Lepisosteus oculatus: one gene and its partner. Each later gene encodes a partner of the first gene's protein in a complex. Links are inferred from orthologs where the notes say so. Each region holds a gene or a part of one and is shown in the gene's direction. Other genes may lie near its edges.

Region 1 (10,047 bases):
TAGCACATATAACTATGGATCTAAAAAGTTCCCTTAGTACTCACATGGTACTGAAGAAATAAAAGAGAGGGACATTAAAACAAAGCAAAGCAGTCTCAGCACTAAAGAAACTTACAGGAATACCAGAGACCTTTGCAGTATGTACAAGAAAAATCAGAGACACTGCTACAATCACTCTGATCGCAGCAACCACAGTAAGGGCAGAAGGAGATGCTAATTCCATGCTAAGGTATGGAAAGAAAGGAGCAACTCAGCAGCCCAGTAGAGGGGTGAGCCAGCTTTTTGCATACGATTTCTGCTGTGTCTAATAGAATTCACAACTCTGAGCAAAACATGGAAGTAAAGCAGTGATAAAGCAAAAATAGCTCAACCATGCAGAAAAAGAAGGTCTTAAGATCCAATTGGATAACTTTGTATGTGACTTGGCATTTTCCCATGAGGTAATAGTTACATTCTGTCTGATTGAAAACCTTATTTTTCAGAACTATGGAACCAGCTCCCCAGCCTTGTTGTCAAAGCTGGTACCTAAGCTTCTTTCAATAAACAACTGGAAGGGAACCTTGTGTCACTTATCTTTTAAAAAACGAAACAAGGTCAATGGGCCCCTGTCATTTGCAAACCTTATGTAAACTTCAATAGAATAAAGGATATGTGCTGCCTGTCACATACTGTAGGAATAATTTTAGACAGAGGAACTTCTTTTTCTAAGAAGTGTTATGTTCTTTACTCTCTTATTCACTGGAACACTGTTACTGACATAAATAGCTTAATACAATCAAAAAGTACTTACTTAAGAAAGTAAATACTGCTTCAGCACATGTTTTTCTATGCATTTAAATAGTTTATCAGAATAACACAGTGCTGTACTGTGTTAAGTTTGGCACTTTAGTTTATTTAGCAATGTGGGCTCCAATTTACAAGTAGGACAAAGGTGCCATCTAATGTCAACAATAAGTTTTACATCCGACACATGCAAGTAATCTTTGATATATTACTTCTTGCATTGCATCAATGAAAACATCAAAATTCAACTAAAATTAAGTTTAAGTTAACAGGTATGGAAATTAAGTTTAAAAAAAAGATCATGAAAAGAAAAAACAGACTTCTAAGAAATTAACCACACTCATTTAAGAGGAATTTGTTGTGGATTATCTTTCTTTTCCAATAAGCTGTTTCACAAGAGGAAAAGAATGTAAGATGGTAAGCACTCAGGTGAATTATTCAGCAAAACATCTTTTCTAATGATATATTTAAACAGATTTATCCATTTTTGTTTGTTGTAAAGTAATCATTGCAAGTAAAGTAAAATAAATGCTACAAATGCTTTGTGATTAAATGGGGACAATAACATTTGCAATAAGCAAACATAAAAATCAATACCTGGATAGTGGCTAATAAGAACAGTCCATTTAGCCCATTTACCTTGTTCGGTAGTAGCTATTTCACCTGCGGATCACCTACTAAAAATACATTTGTACAAATACTTAACATTATCAATGTCAGGGTAATGGTGTATTTTTAGAAAGTTTTAAAAATACAAGCATAAAATAACCTTGGTTGGACAATAAACTATGAATTTTCTTACTTGTTTGTACCTTCCAACTAATCAATTAACATATTAATTTAATTTCTGTGCAATGTGGTGAATACTTTACTAGATATTAAAGGTGAATCAATTTAGACCAGGTCATCGTAGCATTTTACAAGATGTCTGTCTATGGATAACTTTAACTGTACTTGGACCAAATTGTACTGAATTTACTATAATATATGTACTTGAACACATGGACAACAGCATCAACATTACTAACAAAAATGAATAATGATAATGATAGAAGTACAGTTACCAGAAATTTACAAACAATGCTGCACAGCAGTATACAGTACTTCTGACAAGACTCAAATGAAGTCTTCAATCTAGCTGGTGGACAGGACCTTCTCCTGCTTCTTCAAGTGGCAAGGTGGCTGTAAAATTTCAGTTAAGGTCACATCTCTCTGCCTCTCAGAGTAAACAGTACCTCAGATATTACACAGAGCTGACCTGCTCACAGCCTAAGTTAATTTTTAGTTTCATTTGGAAAGTTTTAATTAAAATGCACAATTTAATAATTTTTATATTGTGCCTTTCCTGTTAGGACATCACAAAACAATTTACAATAGAGGTAACAAATCAGAAGAGCACATTAGTACAAATCTTGTCCTTTAACTAATTTAATCAAATTAATAATAAACTGATTGTTCTATAAAAAATGGTGTGAAAATAGCTCTGCATCTTTGTGTCCTCTGTGATAGACTGATGTTCCATCCAGGGTATATCTGTGACCCTAAACTGGATAAGTGGATGTTGAAAGTGATTATGATTTTTTGCTAAACAACACTGAGAATCAATTCAATCTTCAACAGACAAACAAGAACCTATTGTTGACTTCTGTTGTGTTATCTTAGTATTTTGGAAGCAGTTGGGCTGTTGGACATTTTACCTTCTACTGGTGGATGCTGCACATTGGTGGTGGTGGAGGGGAGTCCCCATTACCTGTAAAGCGCTTTGAGTGGAGTGTCCAGAAAAGCGCTATATAAGTGTAACCAATTATTATTATTATTATTATTATTAATCCTAAATGAATTTGAATGGCGAATTGTGCTTTTCCAAGTGTCAGCTCACAGTTACCATTCTTGCACATGCAGAGGGGAAGAAATGTCAGCTGACCTGCTCAGCTTCGAGCCACTTGTGTTTTAATGTCACAGGCACCACAGTTCAGGAGGTTCGGTGCCAATTAGAGAGAGGATCATCCCTCGCTGACAGCACTGCATTCCTGCACTCAAGCTACAGGAGGTGCTGTTCCACCAAGAGCCGAGAACCCCGACTGACTAATCCCACACTTCCCTCAGAGTTATTCGGGCTGTGAAATCCCTTGTGGACAAGTGAAAACACTCAGTCTACAGCTTAAGTGCCTTTCTGGTTGAGCTGCACAGAGGGACATAGCTAAGATAATATTCAGAAGTATGTGAAGCACTGCAAATGCCATACTACTTTGTGTATAAACATGTCTCCAGTGTGATTTATTAGCATGACATAGCTGAAGATGAGCAGTACCTTTGTTTTCCTTACCGTCAATGCTCTTAAAGTCCAACAGGTAACTGCGATTGTCCACCTGATAAAGCTGAAGGCTTTAATTTCCTGTTACAGGAACTCTCAGGTGATAAGCATTCACAACCTGCAATTCACATTAAAGATTGACTCAATAGATGCCAAAAGAATAAGATTGCAAACACAGTACCAATACATTAAATGAGTAAAATGGAAGTGCATAAGTATGTAGTGTGTAGGTACGGTGCCGTATTTGCCCCCTTATTGATTTCCTCTATTATTGCACATTTTTGACACTGAAGTTATCCTACACCAACTGGCACTGTGTGAAAAAGTACTTGCCCCCTTAGTTAAATCAACCCAATTAAAATGATAATTTAGAGTCAGCTGATTGAATACAGCCAGGCTTGATTACAGCCAGCCCTGCTCAATATAAACCTCACTTATTTTGACCCTTACTAACAGAGTCAAGTTGCCAGCACAAAGATTCAACAAGCACCTTATGCCACGACCACAGGAAATTCCTGAAGAAATCAGAAAAAAGTTGTTGATATCTATCAGTGTGGAAAGGGTTACAAAGTCTCTGGGACTCACAGTGAGAGCCGTAAACTCCAAATGGAGAACACTTGGAACAGTTGTGAATCTTCTTAGGAGTGGCTAGCCTGCCAAAATTTCTCCAAAGGCGCAGTGTAAAATCATTCAGGAAATCACAAAGGATCCTAAAAAAACATTCAAAGAACTGCTGGCTTCTCTTGCCTCAGCTAAGGTCAGTTTTCATCACTCCACAATTAGAAAGAGACTGGGCAAAAATGGGCTTCATGGGAAAGCAGCAAGGCAGAAACCACTGCTAACCAAGAAGAACATAAATGCTTGTCTCTCATTTGCCAAGAAGCACCTGGATGATCCCCAAGCCTTTTGGGAGAGTGTTCTATGGACAGATAAGTCAAAAGTGGAACTTTTTGGATGACATGGGTCCCATTATGTCTGGCGTAAAGCAAACACAATATTCCACAGTAAGAACGTCATACCAACAGTCAAACATGGTGTCGGTAGTGTGATGGAGTGGGGATGCCTTGCTGCCTCAGGACCTGGATTACTTGCCATAATTGAAGGAACCGTGAATTCTGCTTTGTATTAGAAAATTCTTAAGGAGAATGTCCAGTCATCTGTCCGTAAGCTGAAGCTGAAATGTAGTTGGGTCATGCAGCAAGACAATGATCCAAAAAGAATGGCTGAAAAGAAGCAAAATTAAGTGTAAGCAATTATTATTATTATTATTATTATTATTATTATTATTATTATTATTATTATTATTATTACTGGAACTATATAAGAACGACAGAAATCGTACATCTCCACCTAGTGTTCACATTTATGTAGTGTAGCATTCCGCTCCCACCTGTATTGGATTTTCCCTTTTCCCTCTCAACCTTGACCCTGACTGCATCTGTATACAGTACACATGTATCATATTATATAAATCTTCTATTTCGCCATGTATTGCTACCGGAGACTGCGGGACACCACTCTCTCTCCCCTAGTGACTAGCACACATACTGTAATCTAAAGGGCAATAAACCCCTTTTGTTTAAACTGAGTACTCTGTCTGCAGCCTCCAGAGCCGCAGGGTCGTTCGCTGCAGTATATAATAAATTTAAAATTTTCTGGCATATACAGTATTTATTTGCTATGGTACATAAGAAGAGCTACCTTTCAGTACACTAGAATACCTAGTACGTCGTCAGTTCCTAACAGCAACAACTTTAATGCTGTTATCAAAGACAACAATCAAACATTATAGTATCTCCAAAAAGACAAGAATGTGACACACTGCATACTGTAGAAATGTCCTTGAAGTGCAGCCACCGTGATTCTAGCGGGATTAGGGTTTTAGCGTGTAAAGAATTAAGAATATTTCTTTCCCAATAACAGGTAAATACACAGGCATTTCAGACACACATTTCGAATTGTGGGGAAGAGTTAATAGGCTGCCGCCATCCTCCCCCCATGTCTCTCGCCAGAAGACTGACAATCACCATAAACAGCATTGCGCTGTCTGGTGTCTGACTTCTTTCGCGTGCTTGGTGTAGTGTGCGTTGTACAGTACTCTTCGCCTCCCTCTGCACTCTGGGTAAAACTACAGAAGGATCACAAATGCAAAAATGGCTGAGAAGCAGAAACACGAAGGCAGGGTTAAAATAGGACACTACATATTAGGAGACACCCTTGGAGTCGGCACTTTCGGAAAAGTGAAGAGTTAAGTGTTTTTTTTTATTTTGTTAAGAAACTGCTACAGCTTCCGACAGACTGTAAATGTCTTTCTCCTCTGCCTTGACTGTGAATGTTAAACCATTGCAGGTGGACACTACGCAAACGGCGTAGCAGTGTCTTGACAGTGTATGGGAGCAGTCTAAGAACGGCGAACGCTTATTTCGTAAATATAACTGAAGAATGGGGAGTGTTTTAAAAAATCCCGAATTCTGTCATCAATGCAGAGAGCAGTCTTGTTAAACGCTTGTAAATATTATGGTGTGCAGTTCATGCTTAGGAAGCAGTAGTAAATCAAAAATCCTGTTTTCTGACATGCAGTAACAATAAATGCGAATGCAGTATTTTGTAAGGTATATACAATCATTGCTTTGACAGCGCAATATTGAGAAAAATCATCACACTTTGGTAATGACCATATCAAATATTATGTTAAACCGATGTAAAATGTACGCAGCATTTTATTCTTAAGGAAACCAGAGTTGATAACTGTGTTGTCGGCTTGTAATTCTGACCTTGTTTCTTTAACCTTTACGCACGCCAATCTATGAGGATATTTTAAAAATGGCTAAATTTTAACTTTAAAAATGGCATTTTAGTAAATTCGTTTAGTTGATACGAGTAAACTGCATCTGTTGCCAAACGGTTTTTTCTGGATTTTAAAATAATATGACCAAAAGAACCAAAGAATACAAGATCCACTCTGGCATGTTACTACTAGAATTAGTGCTCTCCTGGTTCAAGTTAAAATGGTAATTATTGTTTGCTAGGTCAATGTTAAGGTTCGACAGAGTGAGGGAAAGTAATTTAGGAGACTGTTGTCCGGTAATAAGGCAACCACAATAGTTTGCAGCTGCAATAATTAAAACTAAAAATGTCCATTTCTATTAAAGCTGGAAATTCGAACCATTCATGAGAGTACAAAGCACGAGCAACACTACTTTTTCATGATCAAAAGTACCAAGTGTTTTTTAAACGACAACTCATTTTTTTCATTTTCAGCGTTTCACGCTAATATGTCTGCAATATTTCTCAATGTGAATTATCAGCACTGCCTAGACAAACCAGCAAGTGCAGCCACCTGTAGGTTGGAATTTGGAATGCATCCCAGCTTGACCTTGGAAACCACTTTAAAGAGAAGCAAACAGCGTATTTCAAGAATAGTAAGATTTTTAATGGCCGAGTCTGAGGTCTGGACCGGTCAACTTTTGAAATACGGTAATTAGAGGAGTAGACTTATCTATAAAAGATTTATGTTCTAGTGTGATTACGTGCTTCTCTGATTCTGGTTTTAATGTGCTCAAATGTAGGGATTCTGCATTATCTATATTGCTGAAAATCCAAACTACAGTACATGTTAATAAAACTTGGGGATATAAGCAATTGAAATCTCATCAGTGATTTAATGGAGTTTTTAATAACTTTTGCTATACCTTTCCCAAAACTATAAACTCCAAGAAATTTTCAGGCACCCGTTACTTTATCACATACATCTTAGCCATTAGTGTATTGATCTAGTCCCCATGTGGTCACAACAGTCCACAAAACATAGAGATCCATAAGAGGCAAACTTGACATTTCTTTGCTTTTTGTTTAAGTTTTAGACTTTGCTTGGTTGTTGTTGGGGCAGGAGAAGAATTAATACAGACATATTATTTATCCTTTTTCCTATAATGGACTTGTCCTTCACTATAAGGGTAAGGTAAAAAATAAATAGCATGAGTCTTCAATATAAAAAAGTGAGATCAATTGTATGAAATGGTTACATCAGTAACTTTAAATTATTTAGGACATGTACTGTATTGCTAACCCATGGAAGATTATAGGCTGCAATCTGGATGTCCTTAACATGCTGTGTGAGTTTTCAGGACCAGGGGAAAGCAGGAATTAGATAAAAGCACAAGAAGAGAAAAAATAGCCTGGTATCTAAGATAACACTGAACCCTGGGGAGTCTATCAAGCAATTTTGTAAATCACTGTTTTCTGTTTTCTATTTGGTCTACACAGTACTTTTTTTACATTTTAGAAAGATATCATATTCTGTATTTTCTCTGTTGAGGATGCACAGCATATTTATTTGGAGGGGATGTGGATTCACAAGCAGGATGCTGGTTCTCTGAGCATGTTTAATTGCTTTTCTGAAACAGCCAGGCTGTTTTGTAGAAGATGTTTGAAGCTGAGCTAAGGGTTTGAGTGTAACAATTTTTTTACAATGTCTTTCTCCTTCTGTTTTTTGTTTTATTAAATATTGATAGTTCTCACAGAAAAGCGAGGTGTGTTGTCTTTGGCTTCTATCATGCTTCATGTCAAGAGACGGCAGGAGATCTGCTCTCAAATGAGCAATCCTGATGTTCCAGTTTTATACATTAATAGTACTTATCATAGTCTAATGAGAATATTGCATGGGACGTAATAGGCAAACCAGAGATCTCAGTAGACTCTTCTGCCTTTAATATTAACCAGGTTTGTACCTTACATTAAGTCAGTGAATTGATTTCTGTTGCCTTTTTATACTGCAACCATGATTGTTTTAAGATAGAGCAGTGAGACCAATTCAAAAACTTTATAAACCAGGCATTTTCTGATCATAATCATGTAATATTCACCACCAAAATAAATTTGCAGTAATAACTAATGTTCCACAAATATTTTCAGAATGCTAAATTAAAGACTCCAGGAAGGTAGTTTAAATTAATCTTGTAGATTTTTAACAAAAAAACATGGTAGTCTTAGTCTTGTGGTCTATAATTGCTTAATAAGGCATTGAGAAATAACATGACAAACCATACTTAATGTTCTGTAGAATGATTTACCACTTCAACTGTGCAGGTTGATGTATGGACACATTTTATAATTTCGCTTTACTTCCTAGTAGAATCGTTCTGTACAGTATATATGAATTGGAAGCTATCATGGGTTGAAAGACTAGTTTTAAGTGTATTTTCTGCTCTTAATGTGCACACCATATCCTCTTGTTATTGGCGGGAATGCATTCATAAAAAAGGAAAGTTAATACTTTTTCTGAATATTATTTTTTCTAAGCAAATGGATAATGTATTCACTTTTTAATCAGTACTTGTATATCTTTTTCACAGATGAACTGAGACCTTTGAATTTATTTTTACTGACAGTTCCATCACTTTTGCTTGTCAAGTGTACATTTTATGGGCCTGGAGTCTTGCTTACCTACTCTCTGGATTCTTTCAGTTGTTTCACTGTTGTTGCTGTTCTGTGCTTTTGCTAGTCGGGGAGCACCAGCTGACTGGGCACAAGGTCGCAGTGAAGATTCTGAATCGTCAGAAAATCCGCAGCCTGGATGTGGTGGGGAAAATAAAAAGGGAAATACAGAACCTCAAGCTTTTCCGTCACCCTCACATTATTAAACTGTGAGCAACACCAGGTGAATTAAAATCTGGGCATTTTGTCAGAGTGGAGCATGATTGCAGCCCTCAAGATACACAGTAACCACAAATCTTTAATGTCTCTTTCAGTTCATAATCCTCCCATGCTATGCTGGTGCTAGTCAAGTTCAAACAGACCTTTCCCATATTCACTGGTTGAAGGCCCTAATGTTATAATATACTGAAAAATAATTCTCAGTAAACAATGTGGACATATTTAAAATATATACAAGGTGTACCTGTGCTTGCAGAACTCCCTAAAGCCCTTAAAGCAAATTGTAGATGTTATAAATTGTGTCTAATTTTGACAACAAATTCATCATTAACATGCATGCAAGTTATAACTTAAAATCAAAGCAGACACTTTAGAGAGAAGCAAAACAAAAATAATTGCAGTAGGTATACAGTACCTTATATCTAATGACATCAAAGACAATCTAGGAGAAAAAAATATATGAAAGTGGAATGAATTTTGCCTGCAAGTCTAGAACATTAATGTTGTTCTTTTGTTGAAAGCTCCTTTGGATTTTGAGACTGTCACAGACAGTGCTGGGTGATATTTTGGAACCTTGATTGGTAATTGGAGTTCTTTTTTTTTTTTTAGATACCAGGTCATCAGTACACCCACGGACTTCTTCATGGTTATGGAGTACGTGTCTGGAGGTGAACTGTTTGACTACATCTGTAAGCATGGGAGGGTAAGAACTTGGTGTTACCCTTTGTGTGCTATGCAGGAGGGTGGGAATCTCTAGGCACCTCACGATTCGATTCGATTTCGATTTAGGGTTCGATAATGCGAATCGATTCTCGATGCATCTCGATTTTTTTTCTATTCATCATTAATTTTTTTGCGTGCTTGCTGAAAGGCCAAATTCAGTGTGTGAGCATAACATCTCAGGTGTAGGAATTTAGCCAGCTGTGCAGCAACAGCCATGTTAGAGGCGTTGTCATTCACCAAAATGAAATCTTTTGTCACAGATTATTGCCACCCTATTTGCTTTCTTCGGTGATTCCAAAACTTGAGTTTTGGTGTCGTTGTAGAGCATTGGTATTGCTGTTTCACTAAAGTGACGCAGAGACGGTATGTTATACCTTGGCTCCAGTGTTTGCAACACTTTGCAAAGCCCTGGTGTTCAACAAGGGAGTAGGGGGCGTACATTACGATAAAACTTGCTAAAGACCTGGTATTTTGCTTCTCCCTTTCCCAACTATGTGGAAGCTTTGACACTTGCTTGAGGGTTCTCTGTTCGGTAGCAACAAAAACAGGCAATTTTTCCTCCAACTCTGGAT
Region 2 (10,635 bases), about 9.5 Mb from region 1:
ATCTAAATTTGTGTGGTTATTAATGGAGATAACCTGTTAACCAAAGGCAAACAAAAAAAACAGGTGGTGCGGGTATGTTTCAGTTTCAAGTTATTTCTTTTAATATATATTTTTAAAATTATTTTTATTGACAGACAATATAGGAGTTGTACACTCCAAATATCTTGAGAATCGGAGGAAATAAGTGATTTCCTGTTGTTAGAATTATACATTCAGTTTCTTTTTTTTGTTTGTTATAACATTTCTTGTTTATGCAATAAAAAGTGGAAAGAAAAACAGTATTAAGTTATTTTGGTGTATAAAATCAGATTAAAAATAAACACTGGTTATAACATAGTGCTCATATATGGTCATTTGCAGATAAAATTCAGTGAGATTTAATTTGCTTTGTTATCTGTTTTTTTATGTTTCTGTTTATAAATACAAATTGAGTTGCTTTCAAATTTATATTTAGTCAAATTAATAACTAAATGGGAGCTAAAATTAAAATTAATTATTCTCTAATGTCTGTCTAATGTACTAAAGCATTTGTACTAAAACATCCCTGTACATTTTTTCCATAGCTAGAAGCCACTGAACAGAAAGACAAATTGGAAATTGGAAACATGTCCATATACCGCGTCTTGTGGAAGCAGAACAAAATAGTTTCTGTACTATATTTTATTCTTTGTGCATTTTGTATGACAGTGGACGGAGGTCTTGTGGTCAACTGTTCTGCCCAGAACTACCCAAACACTTCCTGCCTAATTCCTCCAACCACAGCTACCCTGGACCTGTCTCACAACAACATTGAGAAAATAGAGGAGCAGGACTTCACCGAAGTCAAAGGACTGAGGAAGCTCTACCTGCAATTCAATCAAATTAGCTTTATAGATCACAGGGCCTTTGAAGACAACCCAGAGCTTGAGTACTTGGACATTTCAAACAACTATCTTCTTGAAGGTTCTGTCCTTCCCTTTAAAAACCTGGTTGCATTGAACTACCTGGACATCTCCAACAACATTGGTGATAAAATCCAGCTGGGACCACAGGTTAGCCTTCTGAAACACCTCCAGGTTTTGAAGCTTGGTAATCCTCAAATCATCTCTTTAGGAAAGAACATCTTTCAAGGATTGGGCAGTCTCCATCTCAAGGAATTCCACCTGATCACTGGAGATCTCGATGAGTATGAGCACTCTTTGAAAATCCTATATGGTCTGGAAAAACTCACTCTGGAGGTGAATATTTGGCATGATTTGGAACTGCTTCAGCACATGTTTCAAGACATCAAAAACGCAACCAGGACGTTACAACTAAAGAATGCTGATCTGGTTAGGGGTGGGACATTTGTATCTTTATTTTCCACATTTGATGATTCAGAATTGAGATCCATTGCTTTCCAGAATATTTCTATGAACGATGAATTTGTTACATCTTTGTTCAACACTGTGGGCAAAGCAAACCTTGAAGAGATCTCCTTTGATTTGATTCATTTTGATGCTATAGGACACTGGAAAGTTGATATTACACATTTTCAGGATATACACTTAAGAAGGTTATTTATTAGACATATATATAATCCGAACTTCTACAGGTTTACTTCCCTGGAGTTCATGGTGGAGTTTTTCAAACCCCTTATCGAGGTATCAATTGTGAATGCTTCTGTTTTTTACATTCCGTGCGCAATAGCTGATGTTATGCAATCACTGGAATTTTTAGAGGTGTCCTATAATTTGCTCCATGAATATACCTTGTTTCCAAATTGTCATAGACCATTACCTGGTTTGCGTTCATTGGTGGTTGACAGAAATAATTTTGGAGACTTGAAGAAACTTGCTGCAATGACCTCTCATATGGAACAGCTGGTGAATGTGTCTGCAGCTTTTAACACATTAGACTTCAGTTCCAAAGAACCATGCCCTTGGACTCCAACCATTAAATTTTTGAACTTGAGGGGTAACCACCTCTCCAGTAATGTATTTATGTGCTTGCCAAATTCAATAGAAATCTTGGATCTGAGCCTCAACAACATCACTATAATAGCCAATCTTGAAAAGATGCAGTATTTAACCCAACTCTACCTTTCTGGCAATAATATACTTTCAATAGACCACCTACCTCCCTTGACTTATCTGACAATATTGCATGTTGATAAAAACAAAATAAATGCAGTTGACATTGCAACTCTGAAAGCCTTAAACCTCACTGAGTTAAAACTTAGTTACAACCCCTTTGATTGTTATTGTAACATAAATAATCTCTGCGAGTATTTTGTTGGGTCATTAACCAGAATAGAGGAGTGGCCAGAAGGATACAAATGTGAGATTCCCCTGTCTTTAAGAGGCTCAGAAATCTGCCTTCAGGACCTTTCCTTTGTGCAGTGTAATCCTGGCATGCTTGCAGGCGTAGTTGTGGCCTGTGTAGCTGTTCTTGTGGCTTTGTGTATTTGTATTTGCATAAGATATAATGGACCATGGTACATAAAAACTATCTGGATATGGATCAGGGCTAAAAAAGCTCCAGATATTGACCTTGGGGAAAGAAACTTAGAATATCATGCTTTTCTATCCTATAGTGAACAGGACTCTACATGGGTGATGAACAATCTTCTGAAACAGCTGGAATCAGACGATCCACCCTACCGTATTTGTATCCATGAACGTGACTTCACACCTGGAAAGGCTATAATTGCCAATATCATTGACTGCATCTCCAAAAGTTACAAGACGGTTTTTGTGCTGTCTAAGAACTTTGTGCAGAGCGAGTGGTGCCACTACGAGTTCTTCCTGGCTCAGCACCGGGTGTTTGAAGAGAGGAGGGACTCTCTGATCCTCCTGCTCCTCGAGCCCATTCCGGCCAATTCCATTCCCGACCGTTTCTGCAAGCTGCGCAAAATGATGAACAAGAGCACTTACCTGGAGTGGCCTCCGGATGAAGCCTGCCAGTCCATGTTCTGGAAGCGACTGAAGGCTGTTCTGAATCTTGAGGTCAAAGCACCCAGTCTTCAAGGAAACCCAGGAAAGTGACTCCCCTGTCGTTTAATGACTTTTCCATATTGCCAGAACCTTCGTGCTTCAAGTGCCGTTCTCACTCAAGTTTGGTTCAGTGTGCTGCCACCTGCTAACTACCTGCTGAAAGTCTAAGCCTCCCCCCTGACTCACCCAGCATCTTCACAGTCCCCCGGACTCTCTTGTCGCAGTGGGAACTATGTCTGGGGGCCACAGCTCGCACCCGTGCTGTATAACACGCTGAGGCAGAACAGGCTGGACACCCAACGTTTTTTGACACTGGACTGTAAAAAGGCACTGTCCTTCTGTTAAACTGAGGTCCTGACTCTCTGTGGTCATTAAAAATCCCAGGGAATTTCTCGAAAAGAGTGGGGGTGTTCTCCTCAGTGTCCTGGCCAAATTTCCCCCTGGCCTTTACCAATCATGACCTCCTAATAATCCCCATCTCTGAACAGTCTGCTGTCCTTCCCACTGATAGCTAATGTGTGGGATGTACTGGTGCACTTTGTATTATTATTATTATTATTATTATTATTATTATTATTATTATTAGTAGTAGTAGTAGTAGTAGTAGTAGTAGTAGTAGTATTGAGCTATGTGTCAGCTTCACTTTTCTCTATACTCCAAGCATAGAATTATACTTTTAACTGACCCTCTACCACCATTTCTTAATAACTTCACACATTCTGTTGTTATATTGGCAATATTTTGAGAGTGCCAATTTGAAATTTTTCAATAAATCCAGACTTCTCCTCATCCAGGTGGGGGCTACACATTGGTGGTGGAGGGGAGTCCCCACTACATGTACAGTACAGTGCTTTGAGTTACTTATCCAGAAAAGCGCTATATATGTGTAAGCATATTATAACTGAAGCATGCCACATATTACTCATCATTTCAGGCCTATTATTAGCTATTTTAGCAGAGGAGACCAGTCATAGATGATGTTTGATAGTGTGTTCTTTTATTAGACGACACAAGGTTCTACTGGGTATAGGAATCAACCCCATTTATTTTAAAGATCACAGCTTTTTGGGAAAAAAATCGTTTTTTAAAATCCATAATATTAAGGATGATATCACAGGATCAAATACTAGATATAAATCTCCCTCTGATCTGATTTTAGATTTTAGATTATAATTACTGTACATTGTCCTTTCAATACTATATGGGTAAGCCAAGTATGGTTGCTTGCATGATGCACAATATAAATGTGTGATGTTACTGCTTGATTTAGTTTGCAGTTATGAAATTCAAAGTAATTCAGATGCATTATACCCTTGAATTGTATTGCTCATATACTGTAATGTCATGCTCAAGAAAAGGGGTTGTCAGAGTGAAAATGGGAGTGTCTCTGAGAGAGGAGGGTATAGTTAATATTTTATTTTCCCAGGACAACCCAGAGCTTGAATCTGATAATTAAATCAGTATTCTCTTGTCACTATCACAAAATGATACTTTTCAGAAAGCCTGGAATAAACGGAATCCTAGCAGCATACTATAACACAAGTCTGTGCTTGCTCCTAATGTTTTACTTGCTTCTAACCTTCAAAATGTTGTGAAAGAGTTGTTTTTCATCCTGTTAACATTGCTGACTCTCTGCTCAGTGGCAGAGAGAGAGGGAGTTGTGGAGAAAAGCTAATGCATATGTCTATCTTTTCCAGGCTTGATTATTGTATTATATTCAGTGTTTGCTGGTGTTGCTGCCAACAGGATATGTTCAGATCTCAGCTAATCTGATCTTAACTAAAACTAAAATCCACGAGCATCTATCTTTTTTTTTAGCTTTCTTGCATTGGCTCTTGCGGAATTCAGAATGAAAAAAATACAGCTGGTCACTTGAGTGATTTAGCTTCTGTCTACATCAATGAACTGTTCACTCCCAACACAGCTATGTATTGCTCACACCCTCCTCCAAAAACAATGCTTTCAACACCTGAGACCTTGCTGTCTGTTCTGTTGCTCCAAGGCTGTGAAATGATCGCCCAGCTCATGTCTTATCTTGCACGTCAGCACTTTCAAATCCTGTTTCAAAGTTATTTTTATCTCTGTTTTAATTCTGTTGAATGTACAGAGTATATGCTTTAAGGTGTGATTGTTTTGTTCCAAAACGCTTTGTTAATATGTATCATGAAAAGTACTATTGAAAGTAAACATCATGAATGCAATTATTTTAAACTGGTGGGTTTGTGTATTATGGTAATCAAAGCTTAAAGTGATGATTGGGCCAATAATGTTTTCAGAAAGTCTCACCTTTGTCTCCTGTTTATTTCCATATTAATCTGATAATATTTTTATCAAAAATGCAAAATCTGTATTGGGTGTCAATCGTTTTATTCAGTTATTGCTTGTTTTAGCATGCTTTATAAAGTACGATTATAAACTAGTATACTTATTTATTACTAATTTAAAAATACGACAGATTGTTACAAACAAAAATAACATCTGACTTGTTTACATTTTTAAAAGCCAAGAGCGACAGTTCAGTACTTTCATTTTAATCTGAAGGCCTTCGCGTTTGGCAAATGCAGTTTTAGGATTACAGATTGACCCTCCGCAGATCCCGTAGAAGCCGATATCATCAAGGTTGGGGCAGGGGGAGCTGTTGACATTTGTAATGTAGGAAGGGCGATCGGTTCAGTGGCGCTCCAGAAGCAATAGACATTAAACGCCGTTAACAGGTAATTTGCGTTATTCCGCGCTTCTTCTTTGTGCCTCAAACAGTATATGTGAAATTAAGATCACCCCAGTTTCTGTTCTAGAACTTTAAAGTGTTTGCATTTAAGATATTGTTATTTAGCGGTGTCTGGTAAAGTAGTTTTATTGATCATTTACTGGGTGTCGGAGCTTCCGAGTGTTGTGGTTGAAGCAAACTTATTGGAAATTTGTTGTTTCTGTTACTGTATCGTTTGATAAGACTACCGCTGTCCTGCTTGGGCAACAAGGTCGTTTTAAAAACGCCACAATGGTATTTAACTTGATGGTACAACTGCTGTTGCTAAACGTTTATATTTTTGGGAACAGGGTGAAGAGCTCAGGTGTACCATTACAAGAGGCAGGCGCTACAGTTTTAATCAGTTTTTGGAAGCACACCATAAACACGGAAATAAAATCGCACTTACACTTTTGTTTTTCTGACGTATAATCTGGTGTTCTGAATAATGTTAGCTGTTTGTGTTTTTATTTAAGCAATCATTTGACCCTAAAGAAATCATTATCATGACAAACATTACGGGCTCGTATTCTAATGCATGCCGATAGTAAGCTAAGATCAGTTTCGTAGTAGTGTCAATTTCTTGTCATTTTTACGTACCTGTGCTTAGAGGTTCCACAAATTGCCTCTCACAGTTGAGTGGTCATCACTGAAATGATATGCACAATAATACAGTCTACAACAGGACTGTCTTGGAGGCCGTTTATCTCCACGTCCCTTGAATTGAGAGAAATGACTAACTTTGCCCAACTTTGTTAATAACGACCTGTTTTTGAACCACTGAGAGCTGATTGGGAATGAAGCATTGCAGACAGAAGCCAGGACCGGGATTAACAACCCTGGTGTACAGGCAGAGGTCAGCTAGTACCGTGTGTGTATTTTTAGCTGTCTTTACAAAGTAAAGAGTCATTGGGTGCTACCTGTTTTGTTAGTAGTTGTAGTTCATAAAGACAGCTGTAGTACATGCACAAAGAATCCATTGTGTTTTTAACTTTTACAAAGTTAAAGACTTTGTAACAGTTATAGACTTTGGCACCTTTACATTTGGGCGGTATGAGAGGAAACTCTTTCGAACGACTTCATTGTCTGTTCTGATTAATATTGTGCTTTAAAGGGGAACGAGATATTCCGTTCATTTGTAGGAGTACATCTTACATGACTGCTGTGTGGGTTTTTTTCTCTTTATTCCACTCATTATTGTTGGATTAGAAAATTCCTCTGATGCTATAATTAAGCAAAATCAGAACAAGCCCAATACTGCCTCCGATTCTCTCAGAATAAGAACCTGACGTCATTGTAAACATGCCTTTGGTTCCTTTAGTGAAAACAATTATTTTGAAATGAAATATGCTATTGTCTTTTGATTGTCATTGTTATTGTATATTTTAATGTTCATGAGAAAAATATCCCGTGAGGCACAGGTATGTGGAGTCTGCTTCTGCTTTCATAATTCTGACAAATGTATACACACTGCTGTACAAGGGACTTGGACATCTTAATGATAAGGATTAGGAATTTCAAATATAAGCTTCTTATAAGCACAAACTGTTTGCTCACTGCTTTCATTAAACCTTCGTTAAATCGTTAATGTAATGTGTTTCTTGTTTTTACCATTATTTTTTCCATCCTCCGTATTAATGTAATAGGATGGTCTACTTTGAAAAACAGATCTGTCAGGATTAACATCTAAAACAAAGTGGCAAAAATATCAGGTCTCCATGGACCTGCCAGCAGCTGTATCGCTCTGCAACCCACAACTGTCATTGAAGCTAAGCAGTTTAGTCTGGCCAGTACCTGGATTGGAGACCTCTTGGGAAAGCTAAGGTTGCTGCTGGAAGAGGTATTAGTGGAACCAGTAGGGGGTACTCACCCTGTGGTCTATGTGAGTCCTAATGCCCCAGTACAGTGATGGGGACTCTATACTGTAAAAAAGGCATTGTTCTGCAGATGACATGAAAAACCAAGGTCCTGACTCTCCATGGGCATTACAAATCCCTTGAAAAGAGTAGCAGTATTTACCCAGGTGTACTGGCCAAATTTCCCCCTGGCCTTTGCCAATCATGGCCTCCTAATCATCCCCATCTATCAGTTGGGTTCATCATGCTCTCCTCCCCACTGAGAGCTGGTGTGTGGTCAGCGTACTGGTGCACTTTGGCAGCCTTCACATCATTCAGGTGGTGGTGGTGGAGGGGAGTCCACATTTCTTGTCAAGTGCTTTGAGTGGAGTGTCCAGAAAAAGCACAGTAGAAGTGTGAGCACTATTATTATAATTGCTTCTGCTTGATGAAATTGATGTATTGTGTGGGACAATGGAAGATGGATAAGGTCTGTATTTTAATGTAGCAAGATTTCTTAAGACTTTTTGAATGTTGTTGGAAAGGTGAACTAGTATGGGGAATACGTCCAGTGACCGGGTCTTGGGAGATCGCCATGGGGCAAAATCCCACCGTCCAGATGGAGTTACCAGTAGCCAGAAAGAGCAGGAACCAAGCAAAATCATGGTGGACAGCACCGACGACCCCAACATCTTCAACACTCACACTCTGGAGTCAAAGGTATTTAACACAAGCATGGGCTGATGGTGGTAAGTATGCATTCTGCTTGGACTGTCTCTTTGCACAGCATTGAACTTGCTCAATAAAGCATCCGTTGACAAGGCTGTGCTGTGCTGTTTATTACTGCTGTGTATCAACCACTTAAATCCAAGTGTTCATGGAGATTCAGAATGAAAGCCACAGCTGACCAAGCAGTGATAGTTGTATGTTACAGTCTCATCCATGTTATCACAAAGTCATTCAACATTGTTGAACCAAATGAAAAAACACCGCATGCTTGAACAGCCAAGCAATGATTTAATCTCTGTCCTCAGTAATATGACTAAATACTTTATTATCCTATATACTGTATTTTGGTAACCATGTAGAGGTTGAAGGGCAGCACAGTAGCGCATTGGTTAGTTTTGCTGCCCCAAAGCAAGAGGTCCTGGGTTCAATTCCGGGCTTGGGATCCATCTGTGTTCATATTGTTTGTATGTTCTTCTTGTGTTTGTGTGGGTTTCCTCTGGTTTATAAACTGTACCGGTGGGTTAATTGACTTTTGGTGTGTGTTTGTGTGCATGTGTTGGTGTCTGTGTGTCCGCCCTGTGATGGACAGGCGCACCATCCAGGGTGTTGACCTAGGTGTTACCTCCCTGTGGCCTGATCTTGTCAAACCTCAGAAGCTAAGCATAGCCAGCACTAGTCAGCAGTGTGGTGGGAAACCTCAGAGGGTAAGCTGGTTGCTTCTGTGGGTGGTGGTTTTGAACCAGGAGGAGGTACATTTCCCTCTGTACTAGAATCTCACATTCAGTACCTCAATATGGTTGACAGTTGGACTGCTTTGTGGAGGAGATCCCATCGAATACAATGTTGGGACCTCTTCTTAGTTACTTGGCCATTAATGATCCCATAGGAATATTTGTAAAAGTAGTGGTGCTTACCCTTGTATCCTGGCACAAATTCTGCTCAGAGGTTTCACAATCTGGCCTACTTCTTAATTCAATTGCTGAAGTAATTTCTTGCTTCTCTGTCTGACCTAATGTGGAGTGTGGCTGATGGCAACATGTCACCAAGCTGGGTACTGCGCTTGGGTAATAGATAAAGTGGGTCTCCTATATAAGTGCTTTGGGATGCTTTGTGTTAAAAAGGGCCAGATAAATATGCTGTATGTATTATTAATGAAAACATGTTTAACAAAAAATGTTTGCCCTTGCATGCTGTATTTATTGTCTGTTTTGTGTTAAGTTTGTTATGAATGTATAAAGTCATTGTTACATAAAATGTAACCTATTTTTAACACGATATTATACTGCCTGTAGCGCTGTTAAGGAGTTGTAAATTGGTCAGAGATATTCACTGCCTGCATAACGTAAATATTTTGAAAATATCACCGTTTATGCAGCTGGAGTGATGACTGGGCTGCTTTGTATATATTTCACTGACCACAGTAACCTTTTATGTAACACATACCCTGTTTGTCTTCTTTAATTGTTCTATTCCCCGTTCGCTTTATAAACCTTTTTTTAGTCCTTTTACACTGTGATTTTCGGCAAACAGGGCCCAGTAATGTTGTAGTGCCTGTATAGCACGTATAGCGGTGAAACACATGAAGAGTTCATGGTTGAGGTCTGCTTATACCACGCAGTGCCACAGGTGGGATGGAAATATCTCTGCTTAGAGTACTTTGGATGGCAGCTCACGGTTTTATTTATTCAGTTTATTTAAATGTTTCAGCCTTCTGGAGAAAAGGAGTTTATGCACTTCACGCCTGACCTCGAAGAGCACATGAAGCTGGGATCACAAGCACGACCCACTGTGATCCGCTGGGCAGGGGGTGGAAAGGAAGTGTACATCGCTGGCTCCTTTAATAACTGGAGCACCAAGATCCCGCTCAACAAAAGGTAAGTTGTTGAATTTCATAGCTGAGTTATTGTCACACCTGGCTGAATGATAATAAAGGGAGACTAATATGGGCGTCTCTGTTATACAGAGTCTTATCTGTTAAAACAAAACTTAAATTACTCAGTAATGGCTATCAGTCTTGCTTGGACCAACAATACACAACTTGAGCCGATGCACCAGTCGATCTGGTACAAAGACCTGATAAAAGCATTGAATAGCGAGGGATGTTTAACCCAGATTGTTAGGGCAGCATTGGCTACTGTTTAAAATGTAACATTTTATTGTCTCCACGCGGCATAATCAGGAAAGGATGACCTCTTTGTCCTAGATATCAACAGTCTGAGCCTGGCTCATCTTGATAGCCAGCTGGCATTCCTTAAATAACGCCCACACTGGCAGCGACACTCAAGTAACTGTGCAATTGGTTCGGGCACCTCTGGGAGAAGAGCTGGGATTAGGTAGCCTGGGTCCTCTGACATTCCAGTTGAACCAGCAA

What was found. Proteins that work in one complex are often made in the same cells at the same time.
Region 2: the proteins of prkaa2 (region 1) and 5'-AMP-activated protein kinase subunit beta-2-like are in contact, whole or in part, in a crystal structure (PDB 6B2E), measured with the Homo sapiens proteins. The link is inferred for Lepisosteus oculatus from reciprocal best matches to the Homo sapiens genes PRKAA2 and PRKAB2. Residues at the interface, in NP_006243.2 of Homo sapiens: Gly9, Arg10, Val11, Lys12, Ile13, Thr21, Asn48, Arg49, Val58, Gln66, Gln81, Val82, Ile83, Ser84, Thr85, Pro86, Thr87, Asp88, Phe89, Met134, Met164, Ser165, Asp166, Gly167, Glu168, Phe169, Leu189, Ala191, Glu194, Pro253; in NP_005390.1 of Homo sapiens: Val60, Ser61, Gln64, Glu67, Asp68, Ser69, Thr73, Gln74, Ala76, Pro78, Thr79, Val80, Ile81, Arg82, Ile106, Ser108, Val113, Ile115, Val155, Ser158, Asp159, Phe160, Glu161, Phe163, Asp164, Lys167, Leu168, Gln191, Met193, Tyr194.

Annotation. Positions count from the first base shown.
Region 1 is NC_090704.1:17,351,564-17,361,610, forward strand, and holds the start of prkaa2 (5'-AMP-activated protein kinase catalytic subunit alpha-2), read left to right. Parts: upstream 1-5,151; 5' UTR 5,152-5,250; coding exon 5,251-5,344; intron 5,345-8,600; coding exon 8,601-8,742; exon of another isoform or gene 8,743-8,756; intron 8,757-9,361; coding exon 9,362-9,455; intron 9,456-10,047. UniProt on the Homo sapiens protein: Catalytic subunit of AMP-activated protein kinase (AMPK), an energy sensor protein kinase that plays a key role in regulating cellular energy metabolism.
Region 2 is NC_090704.1:7,854,065-7,864,699, forward strand, and holds the start of 5'-AMP-activated protein kinase subunit beta-2-like, read left to right. Parts: upstream 1-5,559; 5' UTR 5,560-5,668; intron 5,669-8,080; 5' UTR 8,081-8,090; coding exon 8,091-8,255; exon of another isoform or gene 8,256-8,278; coding exon of another isoform or gene 8,279-8,284; intron 8,285-9,971; coding exon 9,972-10,138; intron 10,139-10,635. Other genes in the region: toll-like receptor 2 type-2, read left to right, coding at 681-1,165, 1,574-1,657, 2,441-3,005. UniProt on the Homo sapiens protein: Non-catalytic subunit of AMP-activated protein kinase (AMPK), an energy sensor protein kinase that plays a key role in regulating cellular energy metabolism.